Linked DNA regions of Schizosaccharomyces pombe. Changing the gene in region 2 together with the main gene of any one other region gives a genetic interaction. Each region holds a gene or a part of one and is shown on either strand. Other genes may lie near its edges.

The links.
Region 1: mutations in nup40 (region 2) and nur1 together harm fitness more than expected from each alone (negative genetic interaction), as found in Schizosaccharomyces pombe (2 studies listed by BioGRID).
Region 3: of nup40 (region 2) and nup132, changing one enhances a phenotype caused by changing the other (phenotypic enhancement), as found in Schizosaccharomyces pombe (2 studies listed by BioGRID, with this or other methods).

What each region holds. Positions count from the first base shown.
Region 1 is NC_003421.2:449,105-454,695, forward strand, and holds nur1 (protein nur1), read right to left. Parts: upstream 2,660-5,591; 5' UTR 2,312-2,659; coding exon 1,361-2,311; 3' UTR 1,105-1,360; downstream 1-1,104. Other genes in the region: SPOM_SPCC4G3.12C (ubiquitin-protein ligase E3), read left to right, coding at 1-625; DNA repair protein Rhp42, read left to right, coding at 3,265-5,325. UniProt on the Schizosaccharomyces pombe protein: Has a role in meiosis.
Region 2 is NC_003424.3:1,350,126-1,356,189, forward strand, and holds nup40 (nucleoporin Nup40), read right to left. Parts: upstream 3,609-6,064; 5' UTR 3,535-3,608; coding exon 3,299-3,534; intron 3,112-3,298; coding exon 2,232-3,111; 3' UTR 1,440-2,231; downstream 1-1,439. Other genes in the region: cleavage and polyadenylation specificity factor complex subunit Rna14, read left to right, coding at 1-746, 790-899; NIMA-like serine/threonine protein kinase Fin1, read left to right, coding at 4,235-4,294, 4,563-4,586, 4,633-6,064.
Region 3 is NC_003424.3:2,774,235-2,782,041, reverse strand, and holds nup132 (nucleoporin, WD repeat Nup132), read right to left. Parts: upstream 4,755-7,807; 5' UTR 4,672-4,754; coding exon 4,488-4,671; exon of another isoform or gene 4,432-4,487; intron 4,424-4,431; coding exon 1,119-4,423; 3' UTR 989-1,118; downstream 1-988. Other genes in the region: serine/threonine protein kinase (CK1 family) Cki3, read right to left, coding at 1-73, 147-295, 356-425, 492-626; tRNA 2'-O-methyltransferase Trm13, read left to right, coding at 5,466-5,791, 5,871-5,907, 5,959-6,702; etf2 (electron transfer flavoprotein alpha subunit), read left to right, coding at 7,114-7,224, 7,297-7,807. UniProt on the Schizosaccharomyces pombe protein: Functions as a component of the nuclear pore complex (NPC).

The DNA.
Region 1 (5,591 bases), on a different chromosome or scaffold from region 2:
CTCATTTTCCACACAGCCTGGAAGGTTATCTACAGGACTCCATCATTTTCCGTCTGATCGAGATTTACTGTCTAATCAAACTAGACGTTCTAGCTTAGCACGGAGCTATAGATTTGAGGAACAACTTTCTGTTGATGATAATACTAGCGACTTTAGTACGTTGGCTTCCAATGGGGCTGCCGACATGGTTACTCAAACGCATTCAGAGGGAACTTTCTCTAATAGCACCCATGGTGATTGGCTTATCTATGTGTTTGGTGGTCTGTTTCCAGAACATCATCCAGTTTTGTCTACAGTTAGCTTGTTTAGCGATAATCCCATGTATGAAGACTTGTTGGCTCTTACTACATACCTGGGTCCAGCGAAGAAACCAGTCGCTTCTCATGAAGATGTGAAACGATCGGGCGGACTTTTTGCATATTTCGATGATGCTTCACTTTCTAGTGCTGATTCTTGTCTAATATGTTTAGAAACTTATACTAACGGTGACATATGTCGCAAGTTGCAGGCTTGTAAACATTTTTTCCATCAGGCCTGCATCGATCAGTGGCTTACCACTGGTAATAATTCCTGCCCGTTATGTCGGGCTCATGGGGTTACGACACAAGCTGAAGAGGAAAATTAATTTTGACTTGAAATTAAAGCTGGCCTTATTCTATGTTTGTTCACTCTCATTTATTTTCCTTCATCCGTCAAATTTGTTGAATAATTGTTCGCACTATTTGCTTGTGAATGAAATCTACATAATAGCTCTTCCCATTTTTATGGCTGCTATAACCTAAAACTGCTTGACCTTGTTCAACTATCTCTTTGGGACTTTCTCATTTTTCTCATTTATGACCTTATTGATAAAATTTTTGTAATTTTCTACTTGCTGCACGGAAACGAATTGTTTTGTTGTGCGTCTTTTGTTAGAAATAACAATTGCCTTTTTTACAAAGCTGAGTTTTTTCTAAAAATCATTTTAGTTAATCGGTTTGCACGTTTAATATAATTTATTTTCCTTTTAGAAATTTTGCTTCGATTTTTACATATTAGTTTAGATACAAAATTGATGCACATTATCACTTTTAAATATATTTTCTAACAAACAAGAGTATTCATATTTATAATCATGTAAGGATTTTAATAAGAGATCATATTGAATAAGCTTAAATTATAAGGATTTGGTTCTAAGTCGATCATCGAAAGTTTTTAGAATGACGGTGTTTGATACCCTAATTAGTCTTCATGAATACAATTATTTCAGGTCTGAATTGAGTTATGACTTAAAACTTTTCGAAAATAGGAATTAACAGAAACAACAATGATAAATGGAAATGCAGTGGGTCATTCAAAAACCATGTAATTCAGACAAATATTAAAAGCGAGAACTACCATCACTAAGATGTGGAAATCTCTTAAATGGTGAGCTGCTGTCACGACTAATTCCGCTGTCATGAAGATGATGAACACTTCTTCTTTGAAGCGCTATAGGGGTACGGGGTGTTGAAGTGAGATGATCATGTGAAGAACTTCGGTGTTCAAGGAAGGTATCTATGGGTTTTCGGGGTGTGAAATATTCAATAGATGCGGTTGTGGGACCACGAGTAGTATTAATGGCAACATCTCGTTTAACTACCGAAAGTCGAGGTTCTACAAATTTCTTATCATACTCAAAGAATACCTGGCGATGAAGATATTGTTGATCTTTCAGCAGTAAGGAAAATTTATTGACAAAATGCAATGTTGTAAACGAAAGGAGAAAAGTCAACAAAGTCACGCGTAGAGAAGTGCTATAAAACCATAAAATCAAGGCATGAGCAGGAGAAAATAAGCAAGCAAAATTTAGTAAAAATTGATTTGGGCTCCATACTTTCAATTCAAAAACTTGTTCATCGCCATCATCATTATTTGAGTGCTGGAAAACTGGTTTTACATTGGGAGTAGAAGTCGTCGTGCGTTTGTCTTGAGGCAAAGTTCTATACAGCTTATTTTGAAATCGAGTGCTAAATATGAAATTGAGAAAGCTGATGAAAAGAAAACAAATTGAGAGAAATGATAGGAAGGCACGAAACCAGGACCTAGAGGTGTTGATGGACTGCTTATCCACAAAGAGCTGGTTGCGTTGAACTGGTACATGCGTACTTTTTATATAAATGCGCATTAAGAGAAAAATAAAATTGACAGCCAAGCTAAAGGGAATCGAATAACGATCTGATACTTTATCCCACTCTACACTGTCAAATTGTTCGCAAACATAGATAAAGTAATCGATCGGAAGATTGATTATTTTAGAAGTCAGCGATGTACGACGGATTAACTTTCCCATTGAAAAGATTTTTAAGCAATGTTTTGAAATTCAGGTGTACTTTTTGAGTATAAAACAACGCCGAATTAGAAATGAAACAAACCATGGACCTGAAAGGTAAATTCCGATATTCGTATACTAATGAACGAAATTAGGGCACTTCTCCGTTTCAGGATTCAAACCTTACGTATTAATTAGAGTAGCAAAGGCTTTTTAATTAGCTAGGTCGAGCTTGCTATTATCGACTTCAATTGCAACAATGAAGGATAAAAAGTTTTTTATTAAGATAACTTTTTAAATCCGGTACGTAAACAAGTGTGCAATAAAAAAGAAAAAAAAAAGAATTTGCTTTCGCAGGTTGATGTTCCTAAGTATTGGTGTTATTGATGGTTTCAACTTTACCACTACTACTGCTGTGCAAAATCAGTCGTCGATTTAAAATTCCTATTTTTAGGAAATATAAGCTCGATCAGTGACATAAATTTAAACAGTTTCGTTTGACGTTTTACTAATTAATGAATTATTTCCTTAAAATTTAACGGCTGAAGTTTTTTTTGACTTATGTTTATTGTCTCTTATTAATAGTGATGCATGTGGTTTAACTTTTTATTTAATAATTTATTTTCATGTTATGTTTCAGATTTAAATTTTTTAAATCTTTATTTCACGGTTGAAATCAAAAGTAGTTAATATAGCTCATAATATTCAGCAAACAAACTACTCGCCATTCTTGCGCAGTTGATACTGACCTCTTTTTCAAAGGACTTTTTAATAATCATCATCACAGCCATTGTTAGAATTTTGCTTTCTTGTTGGAGAGATTGCTTGAAATAATAATTCTTTAACTAAGAATATATCAGATGTGGCTGTGATTACAACTTTTTATTCAATTTATCGTTATTGATATTATTTGAACCAGCGGTTAAACAAGCATTATCCTAAAGTTGATTCAATTCACATAAACTCTTTGCTCAATGCCACCCAAACGCAAAGCATCCAAGAACTCTGTTCGCGGAAGGAAACGTAGGACACGGACCAATAACTTACCTCTTAATCCTGAAGTGAAAGAGGAAACTGTTGTATCTTCAACTCACCGTCAAACTCGTAGCCAGTCGAAAAAGCCAAGTTTGTCTTCCTCAGCGGAACCTCCTTCTGAGAGTTTAGATGACAATATATCAGCGTTAAACTCACTTCAAAGGAGCGCATCTTCATCCGAAAAAGGTTCCGATGAAGACAATGAGAAGTTAGGCAGCTCAGAAGATGACGAGTTTGACGACGATTTTGACACTTGGGAACAAGTTGATCTTTCTCCTAATAAACAAGAAGATAAAAAAGATTTACACATAGTCACACAGCATATCACTCCTCAACTTACAAAAGAATCGAAGAAAGGCTCTTCTAGTGCAATGGATAAAAGCATTCGATTATCTATTCACATTATGCACTTTACTTGCTTGTTGTACCATGGGTCAGTAAGGAATCGCTGGTTAATGAATTCCTTACTTCTTGATGGGCTGCGCGATTTGCTTGTCGAAAAGCAACCGTCCGTAGTGGAGGCGTGGGTTTGTAGTAGCCAGACGCACGAGGATTTGTTAAAATTGTTAAATGGGCTTCGGATGTGGTGGAATAAATCTTTTAAAATTGAGAGTCATGGGCTTCGGAAGTTGGGGTATCGTACTTTGAAACAAGGATTTGATATCGGCTTTTCGCCAGAAATATTTCATAACTTTCATGAATACCAAGCATCCTTACTTTCGCTAAAAGGAAGCCGGGATTTGGCGGCACAGGGATTTACTGCTCTCTGTCGATCTCTGAATCTGAAAGCAAGACTTATATTTTCTCTTCAACCTTTGACATTTTCTACTGCTTCCTATGATGATTGGTCTCCACATATCCTCCCTGAAGAAACTAGTACATCTATAGATGACGACCTCCGCTATCCTATTTTTTGGACGGAAATCTATGATCAAAGTGAGAAGAAATGGATTGCGGTAGATGCGGTTGTCTTGAATGGGGTATATACCAACGATATGACTTGGTTTGAACCCAAAGGAGCGTATGCAGAGTCAAAACATCTACGAATGGGTATTGTTGCTGCATATGATAACGATTTATACGCAAAAGATGTAACTTTGAGGTATACAGATTACCAATCAAGTAGGCTTAAGAAAATTCGACACGTTTCTTTTGCAGATAAGTATTTTGATTTTTATAAGGCTATTTTTGGGCAACTAGCAAAGCGCAATAAAGATGCAGAGGATATATATGAAGAGAAAGAACTGGAAAGTAAAGTGCCCATTCGCGAACCTAAAAGCTTTGCAGATTTTAAGAATCATCCTGAATTTGTATTGATTAGACATCTTAGAAGAGAAGAAGCATTGCTTCCTAACGCCAAGCCTGTGAAGACAGCAACCTTTGGTAACGGTAAGAAAGCTACCTCTGAGGAAGTGTATCTCCGAAAAGATGTGGTCATATGCAAAACGCCTGAAAATTATCACAAAGAAGGACGAGTAATTAAGGAAGGAGAACAACCTCGAAAAATGGTGAAGGCGAGAGCCGTCACAATTAGCAGGAAGCGTGAACACGAATTTCGGGTTGCTGAAACAAATGAACCAGTGCTTCAGGGTCTATATTCTTCCGATCAAACTGAGCTATATGTTCCGCCTCCAATCAAAGATGGTATTATTCCTAAGAACGGTTATGGTAATATGGATTGTTTTGTTGAGAGCATGATCCCCAAGGGCGCAGCACATTTGCCATATCGAGGAATTGCTAAAATTGCCAAGAAACTCAACATTGATTATGCGGATGCAGTTACAGGGTTTGAATTTCGTAAACATCGTGCGATTCCAGTTACTACAGGTATAATTGTACCTGAAGAGTCGGCTCAAATGGTTTACGAAGAATTTCTTGAGTGTGAAAAAATCAGAATAGAGAAGCAGCAGATGAAAGAGAGAAAAATTATTTATGGGCAGTGGAAACACTTGCTAAATGCACTTCGTATTCGAAAGCGTATTGAAGAACAATATGCTTAATTCCTGGCTTTCGTCGGACACTTTAGGGTTTGTATAACCGGATGTGTGTTTTTTGAACAATGAGGATACTTAATTCCAAACGTTAGACTCATTTATTTATTTATTGTTTTGCAAAATTGACATTTGGTTATTTGTGAAGTATTTTATTTATTTAAAGGAAAAAGAGGAAGCAAACTACCAAATTATCTAATATTTTATTGATTTAAAAAACCCCAGATTTTTATAGCACTATTTTTCATATTGGTGGATCACACTCTATTTTTCGC
Region 2 (6,064 bases):
TATTAGGAGGACTGAAGGCGTGAAAGCAGCTAGAGCTATATTTACCAAAGCTCGAAAAGCACCATATCAGTCTCATGAGATATATATAGCTAGCGCGATGATGGAACATCATTGTTCGAGGGATCCGGTTATTGCCTCTCGAATTTTTGAGTTGGGTATGAGACATTTTGGAGATGTTCCAGCCTATGTTTATAAATATTTGTCATACTTAATAGCTATAAACGATGAAACTAATGCTCGCGCGCTATTTGAGAAAGCCATCCCGAGGATTGCAGCTGATGAAGCTAAACCCATATATCAAAAATGGCTTGACTATGAAAGTAATTATGGCGATTTGAATGCAGCTATAGCACTTAGTCAAAGAATGGCTGTTGTTTACCCTCAAGAGTCCACACAAGCCATATTTTTATCGCGCTATGGCTTGAAGGATGATGCTGAGGAAGAAGAACGGGAAACAAAAGAAGCGGAAAAAATTAGAGAACTATCTGTTCGCTTAAATGGAGGAAATGGATTCCCGGGCCATGTTCATAACAACAGGGAAGATGATGAAGTTTCTATAGCCTCTACCTCTTCTAAAAGTAACGTCGAAATGGAAGATACTCGTTTACTTCCTGCGTCTTTGGAATTAGCAAACACTCAAGGAGCATCGAATCCACCTACTTCAGCACTTCCAACTGTTCCGGTACCGTTACCATCTATAATAACCGAATTTTTGGATGAACTCCCAGCTCCTCAAGTAATAACTGGTATGTTGCATAATTGCGCGTTTATTGACTAACTATCTTTTAGGTCCTCGAATCCAACCAACAAAACTTATCGATCATATTATTAAATCAGATATCCCTTTCATTCGTTTACGAAATGCAAATGCACATTTGAAGCGTGCCAGATTTAATTAAAAATTTAGACTATTGCAAAGAAATTTTCTGCACTCTTTCCATTTTTGGTGGTGAGCAAAGTGAACTAATAATGAAATAAAATTAAGTTTTAGGAATGATCGATGTTAAATTACAGCGCCAAACGATATAGGTATATTTTAAAGACGAGTTTATTGTATTACTCAATTTTATCTTTTTTTTAATATATTAATCGTTACAAGAGCAAAGCAATGTGAATTTAGATTTGAGGTTTTGGGTCAAGTATGTAAAATGATTTCGCAAATCATAAAATTCACTTTGGTATTGAATATAATTAGAAACTTTAATCGACGCTGAACCCTTACTTTAAAATTTCCTTTTTTGCTAATTATTCTTAATTTGTGAGGAATGAAGTTTGAGCTTCATCGCATTTCGCATTTAAATATGGTAACCGTTCTTATATTAAACTTAACCGTATTTAAAGTGGTGCATGAAGCATAACTACAGTAAAATTATGTTAAATCAATTTTTAAATTACAGTTGACTCGACACAGAGTACAAAGTTAACTATCCGCTTATTATCTTAAATTTTCTATTTGAAGCTTGTAAATTATATGAAAAGTATTTATTGGGAACTACCCATCGATAACATGATGTTTTCCGTAATTTAATATAAGCAATTATGTGATAATACTAATTTTCTTTTCTTTTTTGTAATGTATTCGACCGCAACTTCATGTTCTTAAATTAGAAATTCATATCATTAGGAACTCCAATGTTGTAACATAAATAATTTATCAATTTTTTTGATTTGATTTTAAAACCATTAGAGTAAAGCACATAAGTAACGTTCGGTTTTTCGTTCTTGATCTTTTCAAGGTTAGTAATACTTGCATAATATATATAGCAACTATAACCGTTGAAACTTTCTTGTTAACGGTTGAAGCGTAAACGTTTTATGTAGTAACAAACAGTGATTGAATGCCATAACGCTATTTCATCACAGGTGTTTTTAAGTATTTTATTCGAAAGTTCCACTGGTCCGTAGTATTTTTAAAAACAAAGTAACAAAAATTCGTAAGTTAAACTTCGATTGTAAAAATCGTGAAACAAATCAGATATGAAAAGTACGCTTAATTCTGAAAGGCCTTAAAAAATAAGTAATTAAATTCACTTCAGAAATTCCTCATATATTAAAGCAATAATGTTTGAGAATTCCAACGAAAAACCTTGTCAAAAGCAAATCATATAACAAAGTATTATAACCCAAAAATGTACTGTACATATGAAAACCTTTCAAGCTTTTTGTCTGTAGGATCGACTAAATAACCAAGTTTTGGCAATCATAACATCCAAATTAATTGAGCAACAAGTTTAAAACCCAAACAATGTGTGCAATACGACTTGAACAATTTTTCCAAATAGAGAAGTTTGAAGCGAAGTGTTGTCAGAAGCAGTTTTAGATTTTTCTTCCTCATCTATTGGCTCAGTTGAACCAAAACCAAATAAATAATGAAATAACCAATTACGAGGTTGATGTTTCTGAGAAGATTTAAAAATATCATTTTTGTGTTGAACAATGACTTTTTTACCAAGACCAGATTGGGATTGGAAATGGGCATCAGCATGCACGGGAATAGACATTGAGGTTTCGGAGGAAGAGGCATCCGTCATTTCCAAGTCTTTATTGCTGTTTCTTAACGTTTTCGGAACATGCTCCTTCGCTTCTGCGGGGCTGTATATACATCCAACCATAAAAGAGTCATTTATCAACATTCCGTTAGACAAAACTGCTTTGGCAGCAGAAGAAGGCTCAGCATATGTTAATTGTAGCCAGTTACCAGATATGGGACCCTTGGAGGGAGTGAATCCGGCACTTGAAGCAGTTAATGAATTCTCGCTAATAATAGTTCCAAAACGAGAAAATTCAGCTATTACTTGATTTGTCAATTCTGGTGGGAAACCGAAAACGATAACGGAGGTATTTGAATCTTGAGGAGCGCCAGACATGGTAAAAGAAGGGTCGTATACCTTTTCAGAGACAGGAGAAAAAGGGGAAGAACTTTGTCCAACATTGAGAGCATTAATTTGCCTAGAGGAAGAAAAGTCATAAATGGATTGAGTAGGAGGAGCATCTTCAATTAAAGATCCGGTACCTAAACGATTTGTATGCAAAAACGGTTTCGGTGTACCAAAGCTGGGTCCGCCGAATTTTGAAGAAGGGGGACTCGAGAGAGATAAACGGAAGGAAGAGCTATTTAGAGAAAATTAGTAAAGGTTCTAAGAGTTTATGTCTAATATTTAAAAATTCATAGGGATTAGGCTGAAGCTCTAACAAATTTGGATATAGATAGATATTAGGTAAAAAAGCAATTATACTAAACAATTTTTTAATCCTCCGTCTTCAAATGTCCCTTAAACTCTTCAAAGAAATTACTTACGATGACTCATATGGTTCTGCTAAAGGCGAGCTAACCTCTGGGGCAAATCGACGCTGCTGACTTGATCCAAAGTGTGAAAGATGACTGGGAACAAATTTTTTTTCTTGTGGAATGTTAGAAACAGATGTTCGAAATCCACGATATTCTTTTTGAGGAGAGGGCGAACGTAAATCATCGACAGAAAGTGGCTTTAAGGTTGATCGATTCGTGATAGAACCACTTCCCCCAAAAGACATGTTTCCGGCAATATTACTAGAGTCTTGTGATAGACTGTTGTGTAACATATGTTTTGCAACGTATATAAATTAGCGGTAAGTTCATTTGAAGGAGATGGCTTGCATGGAATGAATCATGAAGCCTAGCGTAGATCACTAAAACCAATTAACGCAAAATAACAGTTTATTGTTAATGCTATTGATTTTTATAAAACATGCAGATAAATCTTTTGAAAGCCTCAAACTAATATTAATACGTTTAGCTATTCATTTTTTTAAAACTTGATTTAAAGGACTCTGTTAAATTCCAAGCTCATTTACAACAAACCTTATACAATCATGTCATAAAAGGCATTATAGATGATAAAAATTCTCCACAACTTTTTCTCATTGCTTATTGAATAGCGTATCTTTTTCTTACAGAAATTAAAATGCGACTGGATATATATTATAATCGTAGCAATAAGCACCTGAAGTAACAGTGTTACTCCTAACCATGGCAACATTGTTTACACTTGATGATTTAACGAGACACTGCAGAAGAACCAAACATAAACATCTTGGCTTGAAATTCATATACTTAGCACTCAATCACTCCAAGCAGTATTTTTTATATTATTAATTGATAGAAGAATTTTTCTTTTTCTTTAAAGGTCCTACCGAGAAATTTAGTTTTATTTTAAGCTTACCTGAATCTCATGGGCTACTTCTGTTCTGAAGTATGGAAAAATACAAGATTCTTGAGTGTATTGGACATGGGAGTTTTGGAAGGATTTATAAAGTAAGTTTTAATCTTATTTTCACTGAAATTGGTTATTGGATAGCAAAATTCTTTCTTGTTTTCAGTTTATTTGCGAGCAACTACTTGTGGTTGGCAAATGAATCTATAGCATTGAATCAATTGTTTTCTTAAGAAACAGGGAAACTATATTGATTTAAATGCTTTTCGCTATTGTTTGTACTCTATTCAAAACAGTTTTTCAAATTGAAACTTTGATCGATATTTTTTTTTGCAACTCCTTTTTTATGCATTATGCTAACTATTATAGGTTCAACGCTTAAAGGATGGTGCTGTAAGTTTGAAAGCAATTTATTTTTATAGTTATTAATACTTTTTAGCTTTTGGCTCAGAAGGAAATACACTTTGGTAACATTACTCGGCAGGAAAAGCAGTACATCGCAGATGAAGTGAATATTCTTCGTAATCTTAAGCATCCAAATATTGTTCAATACTGCGGAGAAGAATTGAATCGTTCTGCGCAGGTAATAAACCTTTATATGGAATATTGTGGTCATGGTGATTTAGCCAATCTTATTCAACGTTATAAAGAAGAGAAAAAGAGATTTACCGAGCAAGAGGTTCTCAAATTTTTTACGCAATTACTACTTGCTCTGTATCGCTGCCATTATGGAGAAAATGCGCCTGCTTGTGACTCACAGTGGCCAAGAGAAATTTTTCATCCTAAACAATCTGTATTGCATCGAGATATCAAACCTGCGAATATATTTCTTGATGAAAATAATTCAGTTAAGTTAGGAGACTTTGGTTTATCCAAATTGCTGGACAATACGCGTGTCTTCACACAGAGTTACGTGGGAACTCCATACTATATGTCTCCTGAAATAATTCGGAGCAGCCCTTACAGTGCGAAGTCTGATGTTTGGGCTCTTGGCTGTGTTATTTTTGAGATCTGCATGCTTACGCATCCCTTTGAAGGAAGGTCGTATTTGGAATTGCAACGTAATATTTGCCAGGGTAATCTCTCCTGTTGGGATCATCATTACAGCGACGATGTTTTCCTTCTAATCAGGCATTGCTTAGAAGTTAATTCAGACCTCAGACCTACTACTTACCAGCTACTTCGCTCTCCTATTTTATCCGATATTCGTAGTAAATTGGAATCCGAGAGAGTAGTCTTGGAACAAAGCGATTTGCTTCATAAAAAACATCAGATGCTTATTCAATTGGAAAATGATCTCCAATTTCGCGAGCAAAGGCTTTCTGCTCGGGAAAGTGAACTCGAAAACGTTATAGCTTCTCGCTTAGCCCAACGTGAAGAGATATTGCGACGTGAGTTGGAAAAGCAACTGCGTGACATGGATGCTCGTTATCAAAGACACATGCAAACCGTAGTAAACTCTATGCAGAAAATGCGTGTTACAAGTCCTGTGGATCATAATGAACAACCTGAAAGCAGTACCGCTGAGATGTTTGTAGATTGTACAATTGAAGCATCACAATCCCCCCTACTTCATATTCCTAAGTTAGGAATTAGCAAGCCCTTGCAAACGTTATCGTGTCCGGGTTTCACTCTAACTACACAACAACCGATATTGAAAAGACCTACTCTCCGTAAAGAATTATCAAGCAGAGCCTTACATACGACTGCAACATTAATGAAATACAGAGCTAATGCGTCATCTCTAAGGACTACACCTATTGATAAAGATGGCCAAATTACATCGTTACAGCAAAAAAACGGCACGTCGAATCAAGTGGCGGATTGCATGAACAAGTTGCTGCACACATCTTTGGACGGAAAGAAGCTAA
Region 3 (7,807 bases), 1.4 Mb from region 2:
CGATTAAAAAATTATCTGGTTTAATGTCACGATAAATAAAATGTCTCTCATGAACAGATTGAATACGGGTGATCTGATTAACCCTGTTAAAATGTAATCACATAAAGCCAATCCGACAACAATCGGATAGACGTTTACAAACTTACCATTTGTTTTGCAATCATGGCAACGGTTTTAGGACTAAAACGTCTGCCACAATAATCAAAAAGGTCCTCTAAACTAGGTCCTAGAAGATCCATGACCAAAAGGTTGTACATGCCTTCTTGACCGTAATAATACACGCTCGGAATTCCAGCTAGGGATAAATGTTAGGAAATTGACGAAAATCAGTATAGCAACCATAGTGAATACTTACGCAAACCCATTAGTAGCTTATAAGTAAGGTATTCATCACGAAGTTGAGGAACCTCGCTTTTTCTGGACTCCTGTGAGAATGCAACGTTAGTACTGAAATTGAGAATCTGGATTGCTCTCTAAAAATAATTACATACAAATTTTAGGGCAATTGGCTGATTATTGATTAAATTTACACCTTGAAATAACATGCCAAAAGATCCTTCTCCAATCTTTTTACCAACGCGGTAATGAACACCAACGACGTTGGAGTGAGACGAAGTAGTTGACATGATGGTCTTTTAAATATTCCACTATGTTAAATGCAGTTTTCTTTAAAATGTTTTTGATTAAAAGAGCGTTCCGGTTTGTTAAATGTTGATGTCTTTCGCACTCGAAAGTTAAAGATGGTTACGGGTAGAAAAATGAAGTAGATGCCGCTAAAATCCACAAAGATTCCATGAAAAACACAAAGAAAGTGACAGTTCAATTATTTCGTTTACAGTTGACAACCTCAGAGGAATCCGAGGCAGCCAACACTGTACTTGGTAGTGGACAAGTAAGCAGTACTGGGTTTTCCACCGATATACCAAGCTAGCGTAGTATAAGGTTGGAAAGCTGAAAATAGATATAATGGTATACTTTCTAGTTTGAGTTAGTGGTAAACAAAATTTTATTTTAGATTCATTAGCTAACAAAATTGACAATGATCAAGGGACTCGGATGAAACCTATCTAACCAAAATTCTTTTATTATCTAATGGGTTTGTATGATTAAGATAAAGGTTAAATCGTATCGCAACTTAAACACATACTAATATAGCAAGTATTTAAATTAGTTTTTGTAAGATAATGATCCAACTTTACGCTTTCACGATTAAGTACTTTGGTAACTTCAGTCACATCTCCAAAGCGAGCGGGTGGGTAAATAGAAATGAGATTTTGAGGATCATATCCTTCAAACTTACAAGAAGAAAGCGAACCAGGTCGGATAAGTCCTTCATGAAAAAGTCCGTTTATGGTCACAGCCTCTAGAGTCCGATATAGTGCTGACATTCGGAATTGGGTTTCTATAATTGCATCGTTTTTACCCTGGGTATCCAAAACTTGGATCCAGTTGTCATGTAAAACAGCTCGTCTCCAAATGGTATTTTCATAAAATCTCTTGGCATCGTCCGTTAATCTGGTGGTTAAAAGAAGACGCAAAGCAAGATAATAGTCGGTAACTTCACCTTCTACAAGGTCCTCTCGACGGTATAAAGAAAAGCTGAGGTACTCCAACAGTTCAGTTGCTTCAACCACCTGTCCGGCAATGAACTTTTTGACTACGCGCTGCATAACCTGACGAGCGATAACAGGCGCTACCTTGGCACCAATCAAATCATCCACAACAGCTTCTACAAGCTGGTATTTTTTCCCCTGAGAACGAAGCCGTTCAACGACTGGCATAACACTTTTGGAAACCATTTTTTGAATATGTAGTTGCTCAAGCTTTTGTTCCACTAAAACCAAATCTCTGATATTTCCAGAGTTGGATGGAACTGCATAAAGAAATAATTTACTTAATGAAAGCTCAGATTCCTTTTTATCAACCAGCTTTTCTTGTTTAGTAGCCAACTGTAGCAATCTATGCGACGCAGCATCGTAGTCTCCTAACCTCATATCATGCATCCATGAAATCTGGTTGTAATCTCGAGATTTAAAAAATTGTTTCAAATAAGATTTGTTGAACCTGTCGCTATTAAGCAACTCTAATGCCATGCCATTTTCAACAAAATAGTCATATAATATAAATGCGAATTTTATACCAAAAAGATCAAGGTAATTGTTTAGTGCATCCGTGAGCTCATTGTCCTCATAAAGTTGATAGCACAATTCTACTAAAGAACGATAGTCTGAGTATTTTTCAGCGATTCGAATGGCACTGCTGCCTTTACCTATATCTGATAAAGTTTGAACCCAAAATCTGCGATTAACTGCAAAAGCTTCCTTGACATCTTGAATTTCACTAGCATCCTTACCACAACGTTGTTCTATCCATCTAATCCTTTCTGAGTACGCGTCAAAGCAAACCTCTGTCAAGGCCACTAATTGTACTTCTAAATTTGAAACGACATTTCTTAGCACCCCTTTATCCTTTATTTTAAAAGTATTCTCCACATCCGAGGTTCCTTGATGTGACTGGACAAGCGCTGACCGAGTAAGTTCAAACTGTCGACACAGCAAAACTAAAGTTTCTGGCGTTGACGTCCAAGGAACCTCTTCTCCAAAGGTATCAATACTTAGCTTATAAATCTTCTGGGACTCACGGCGATAAGCCAAAGCCGAAGATTGAATTGCCAGAATTACTTCATTAGCTTCCATAATTACATCAAGAACTTCCAATGGAAGTTCTTGAACTCGAGAACCTGAATCTATGCAAAATTCATGTGCTTGCGCTATCAGTTGATCAATGCTTTCAATATTATGCAAAAACCACTCTCTCAAAGCGTTATCCGACGAAGCACTTTGAGTGAGTCTATAAATTATGCGTTGAAAAATTAGGGAATGACTAACAGTACTAAATTCAGTATCGATAGTATTCCATAAATATCTAACAGAATTGCATTTTTCGCCCATTACTCTCAACTTGTATAGTACTTGACGATCAACATCCAGTGACATAGACCTAATATACCGGACAAGATTATTCAAAGAATTTAACCTACAGGACAGATGCTGCATTAAAGAAGCAAATAATGGGGGTAAATGAGTAGACCTTGAATTCAAGATGTCCATTCCAAGATCGACAATAATCCTTTCGAGTTCAGGCTTTTTGATGGAGCGAAGGTAATTGCAGGAAAAATCGATCGGATTACCAGGAAGGAAGGAGTAAAAAACAGCTTCTTCCAACTTGCTTTTTACGAGAGATTCGTTATTTGCAGGATGCTCCAAACTATGAACTTCTATTTCAGCGATACCAGAATAAGGGGTTGCTATAAAACATGATTCCGTAGGAATAGAGTATTTTCCTAAAACGTATTTGTAGCAAGTAGACATAAATATGCCGCCAGAGACATTAGTATTCATACGAATAACCTCTTCCCATGATGTTCTCGATACAATATCTTTATCATCCTCTTGGACGTGCACTATAATAACAGCGTCTGTTAAAACCACAAATAAAGAATTCCCTGATGATGAATAATGTAGCTTTGAAGACTCAAGAGATTTAGAAGAAAATGAATACAATGGATGAATATTCATTACCGAGGGTGAGGAAATGTCAGAAAAATCAAGAGAAATAATCATGTAACGGTAATTAATAGAATTTTTCCAACATACTAAAAAACTCACTAGATTTCCGTTTGTGGGGCATATAGTAAGGTCTAACACCTCAAGTCCGCTTGCATCGGGGCATCCTTCTCTCAAAACCTGCTTAAAAATAGGAGACAGATTCATACCAGAAACAAGCTTATTTTCCAACTTCAAATCATATATCTCTAGTAAACCAGATGCCTCAGCGACATACAAAAGATGTTGGTATGGAGAGAACAGTGGTGGGGATTTTAAAGCAATGATATGAATGCTAGGGTAGTTAAAAATCTTCATTTTCTGAAGAATAGTAGAAAAAGTACTAATATCGGAAGCAAATAATTGTACAGAAACGTCAGGTTGACCTGCAGGATCGCGCAGTTGAACAGAAAAAAGACGACCAAAATTGGTAGATATGATGAACTTCATGGGGTTTGAGCAACATAAATGCTCACATTTTTCTTTGGGGAGTAACTTTATCAAACTTTCCATTCCCTGGGGACATATATAAGATTGAGCGAGAGCATTCCCAATTGAAGTCCAATATGCTATACGACCAGAGATAGGCATTACAATCAGCAATCCAGGTTCTTTGTCAGAAGCATCAGAAGGGACGAAGGCTGTCAAGGCATTTTGCCCGGAAAAGCCATTTGAGTCCTCTTCAGGTAGCGGAAATGTTATAGTTGGAGGTTCTGCTGTTCCCAAGCTTTGACGATACGACAAAATAAAGCAAGCTTTTCGGGAATTAATTAATGCATAACCGATGTCTGTGTAGCATGATCCACTTAAAGGATGGTCTAAATTGAATAGAGATGTTAGTTACCTAGTAATGCGCACAGTGAAGAAATAAAAGCTTCGTACCGTTGATAATTTTAGAATTAAAATGTTTAAGTAGACACGAGACCTTGAAATTTTTAGATCTGAGCCAATCCAATGAATTATTATAGGCAGTGCTATCCAAAAGCGATTTCTCAACAGAAATTCGTTTCAAAGGGCTAAAAGATACGACTTCTTCATTTTTCCTTTTACCAAGGATAGAACTCATGACTATTTGACGATATCAGTACTGATACTGGCGGTTATCGTCTATTTGACTCCTTAATACCCTTAGGGATAGAATATGGCTCTGAGAAGGACGAATGTCGACGATTCCTACAAAGAAGGGTTTGAAATCAAAAGAACTTTACTTAGACTCCTATTTTTTACTCAGAATTAAATAGTTAAGCTACTGATAAGAAATTCAGAGTAAAATCAATATATCAATATTTCAAAATCGGTGTATATGTCATATACACTTTTTTCACAAATGTCAACACAGTTTGCTCTTTTGTAATTAATTATTTCTTTGCTTTGGTATATTTAAGGAAGTGATACTTAGGATATTGTCTTTTCCCGGAATGTTGTATAAAACAGAGGTTTTTAAAAAGTAGTTGCGTTCTTCAAGGTCAAGCTTAAACTACTTTTTTAGAACGCATGATCAATTTATATAAATGTTTCATGATTCCGTATTTGAATTTTTTTTATGAGCACGCCAATGGTTGGAAACATCAGATTTCTTCGTAAAATCGCACATCTGGTACAGAAAACTATAAAAGTAGTAGAAAGTTTGGGACTGGGTTGGAAACAACTGTAATAAAGAGAAAAACGCGAAAATACTTTATTTTGAAGTGTCTGAACTGCCGAATCGGAAAGCTATTTTTCATTAGTGTTGTAAATTATCCGAAGGACTGAAAAAGACCAAATTTTACAAGAAAAATAAAATTATTGTATTTTAAGATTTACTTTTGTGATCAATATTCAGGCTAATATCACTTAAGAGTTAAAAAGTTATCTAACTTGATGGCACGAATAAAAAAAATTTTTACTCAGGAAGAATTAAAACAAATCCCCTGTCCATATGATCACAAGCATACAATTGTGCGACATCGTTTAGAATATCATTTGAAGCGTTGTAACGCGCGTCCTGTTGAAAGGACCGATCCATATTACAAGAAGGACATAAATATCTCTACTTCAACAGATGCTTCAGAATCTTCCTCCTTTGAAATCGTCGATTTAAGCAAGGAAGAGTTGTCAAAATGGATTTGTTTGTTCAACAGAATTAGTGATTCTTTACCGACTCCTCAAAAAAAGGTGTTGTTTCACCCGGCAATGAATGCAAGACTGTATGTACGAAGTGCTTTCTCATTAGCTTTTTATTAAGAAGATGGTTGCAAAAGTAGAAACTAACTTCATTTTTAACAGTGAAGAGGGTACAAAAAAAAAGCATGCAATTCAGCAGGTATGTTCGACATGATTTCTTAACGGCAGTCAAAAGCATTAACCATTTTAGGCATCATTGTTAGGACATATGGAAAAACTACATTATTTTGACAACCAAGGATCTATATATTACGAATTCGGTGCTGGAAGAGCCGAGTTATCAAGATATGTTCAGCACTGCTCCCAACAAGAAAACGTATATATACTTATTGATCGTGATTCAAATCGAACGAAGCATGATAGCAGGATATTAAAAGATAGCATCAAAAATAACTGGCCTGAGCCAAAAATTATAAGGTGTAAAATTGATATTAAGGATTTGAAACTCGATTTTTTTGCTAGTGAATTTCGGAATAGTGGTAAACCTGTATTTGCATATTCTAAGCATTTATGTGGTGCTGCCACAGACCTTACCTTGAATTGCTTAAAGTCCTCCCCTCCTAATGCTCTTGTAATTGCCCTTTGTTGTCATCATCATTGCCGATGGAGAACACTTTCAACCTTTGCTAGAGAACAATTAAGTCATTGGGGAATTTCAAATCCACAAGAGTTTCAAATATTACGACAGATGACTGGGTGGGCTGTAAACAGTTTGCGTGAGCATATGCATGCTTCTGGAGGAGCCGACTCACACATCAGTGGTCTTTCTCATGAGGAACGCGTAAAAATTGGGTTGAAGTGCAAGCATATTATCAATTACATGAGAAAATTAGAATGCGAAAAAATGGGTTATGAATCTTCTCTCGTATACTACGTTGGTGAAGAAACGACTTTAGAAAATGTTGCACTCATCGCTTATAAACGAATCAACTAAGTGAATTTCCTTACGTGAGAAAAGTAAGAAAATTTTTTAAATTTGAAAAGATTGCACTCAAAAAAACTAGAATTATTTTGTACTTTTTTGAAGTGTGAGATTGCATATAGCAATCTGATAGTTAAAGCAAATTTTACTTTTTTTTAGCAATCATGATTTCTCTTGAAGTTGGAATTGTTTGGAATATGTAAATTTTGATAGACATTATTTCCTCTTACTTAAAATTAAAAAACTTCCTAACTAGTTAAACTCGGAAATTGTGCAATATTTAAATAATAAAAACTATTTTTTTTAAAAAGTATAAAATTAACAACATTAATAAATAATATGGAATATGTATGAAGGTTTCATATTCAACTTTCTACCTTCTTCAATTCCAGTCTTTGACCACCGCATAGCAATATCGCAAAAATGTCGAAAATTCGCATTTTAGTAGGAGTCAAGCGAACTCTAGACTATATGTTAAAGCCTCGCATCAATGCCACTAAGACTGCTGTTGATTTATCGGGGCAAAAAATGAGTGTATGTTGAAAGGAGAGTAATCATTTCAGTACTGCTGTAATTCGCAATTTATATTTGACTAATCGTGAAAAGATTAATCCATTTTGTGATATTGCTGTAGAAGAGGCTATAAGGATGAAGGAAACTTTGAAAAATAGAATTGAGGACACTTTAGTAGTGACCGCAGGACAAACTTCTTCTGAGCCCATTCTTCGCCAGTGTCTTGCTAAAGGAATTGGCCGAGCAGCACTTATAAATGTTGGCGAAAAAGAACTTGAACCTCTTTCAGTAGCCAAACTTTTGAAGGCAACAGTCGAGAAGGAAAAAAGTAATCTGGTTTTGCTGGGCAAGCAAGCTATTGATGATGATGCACACCAAACAGGTGGTATGCTGGCTGCTATGCTTGGATGGCCTCAATTCACTAGCGCAAGTAAAGTCCGTATTGAAGGTGACAAAGTTATCGTTACAAGAGAAATTGACGGCGGTGAAGAAACCTTAAGTAGTACACTTCCAGCCATTATTACCACCGATTTACGTCTTAATGTTCCTAGATTCGCGAATTTGGCAAAAGTTATGAAGGCAAGGAAGGCTCCTTTAGGCAAAA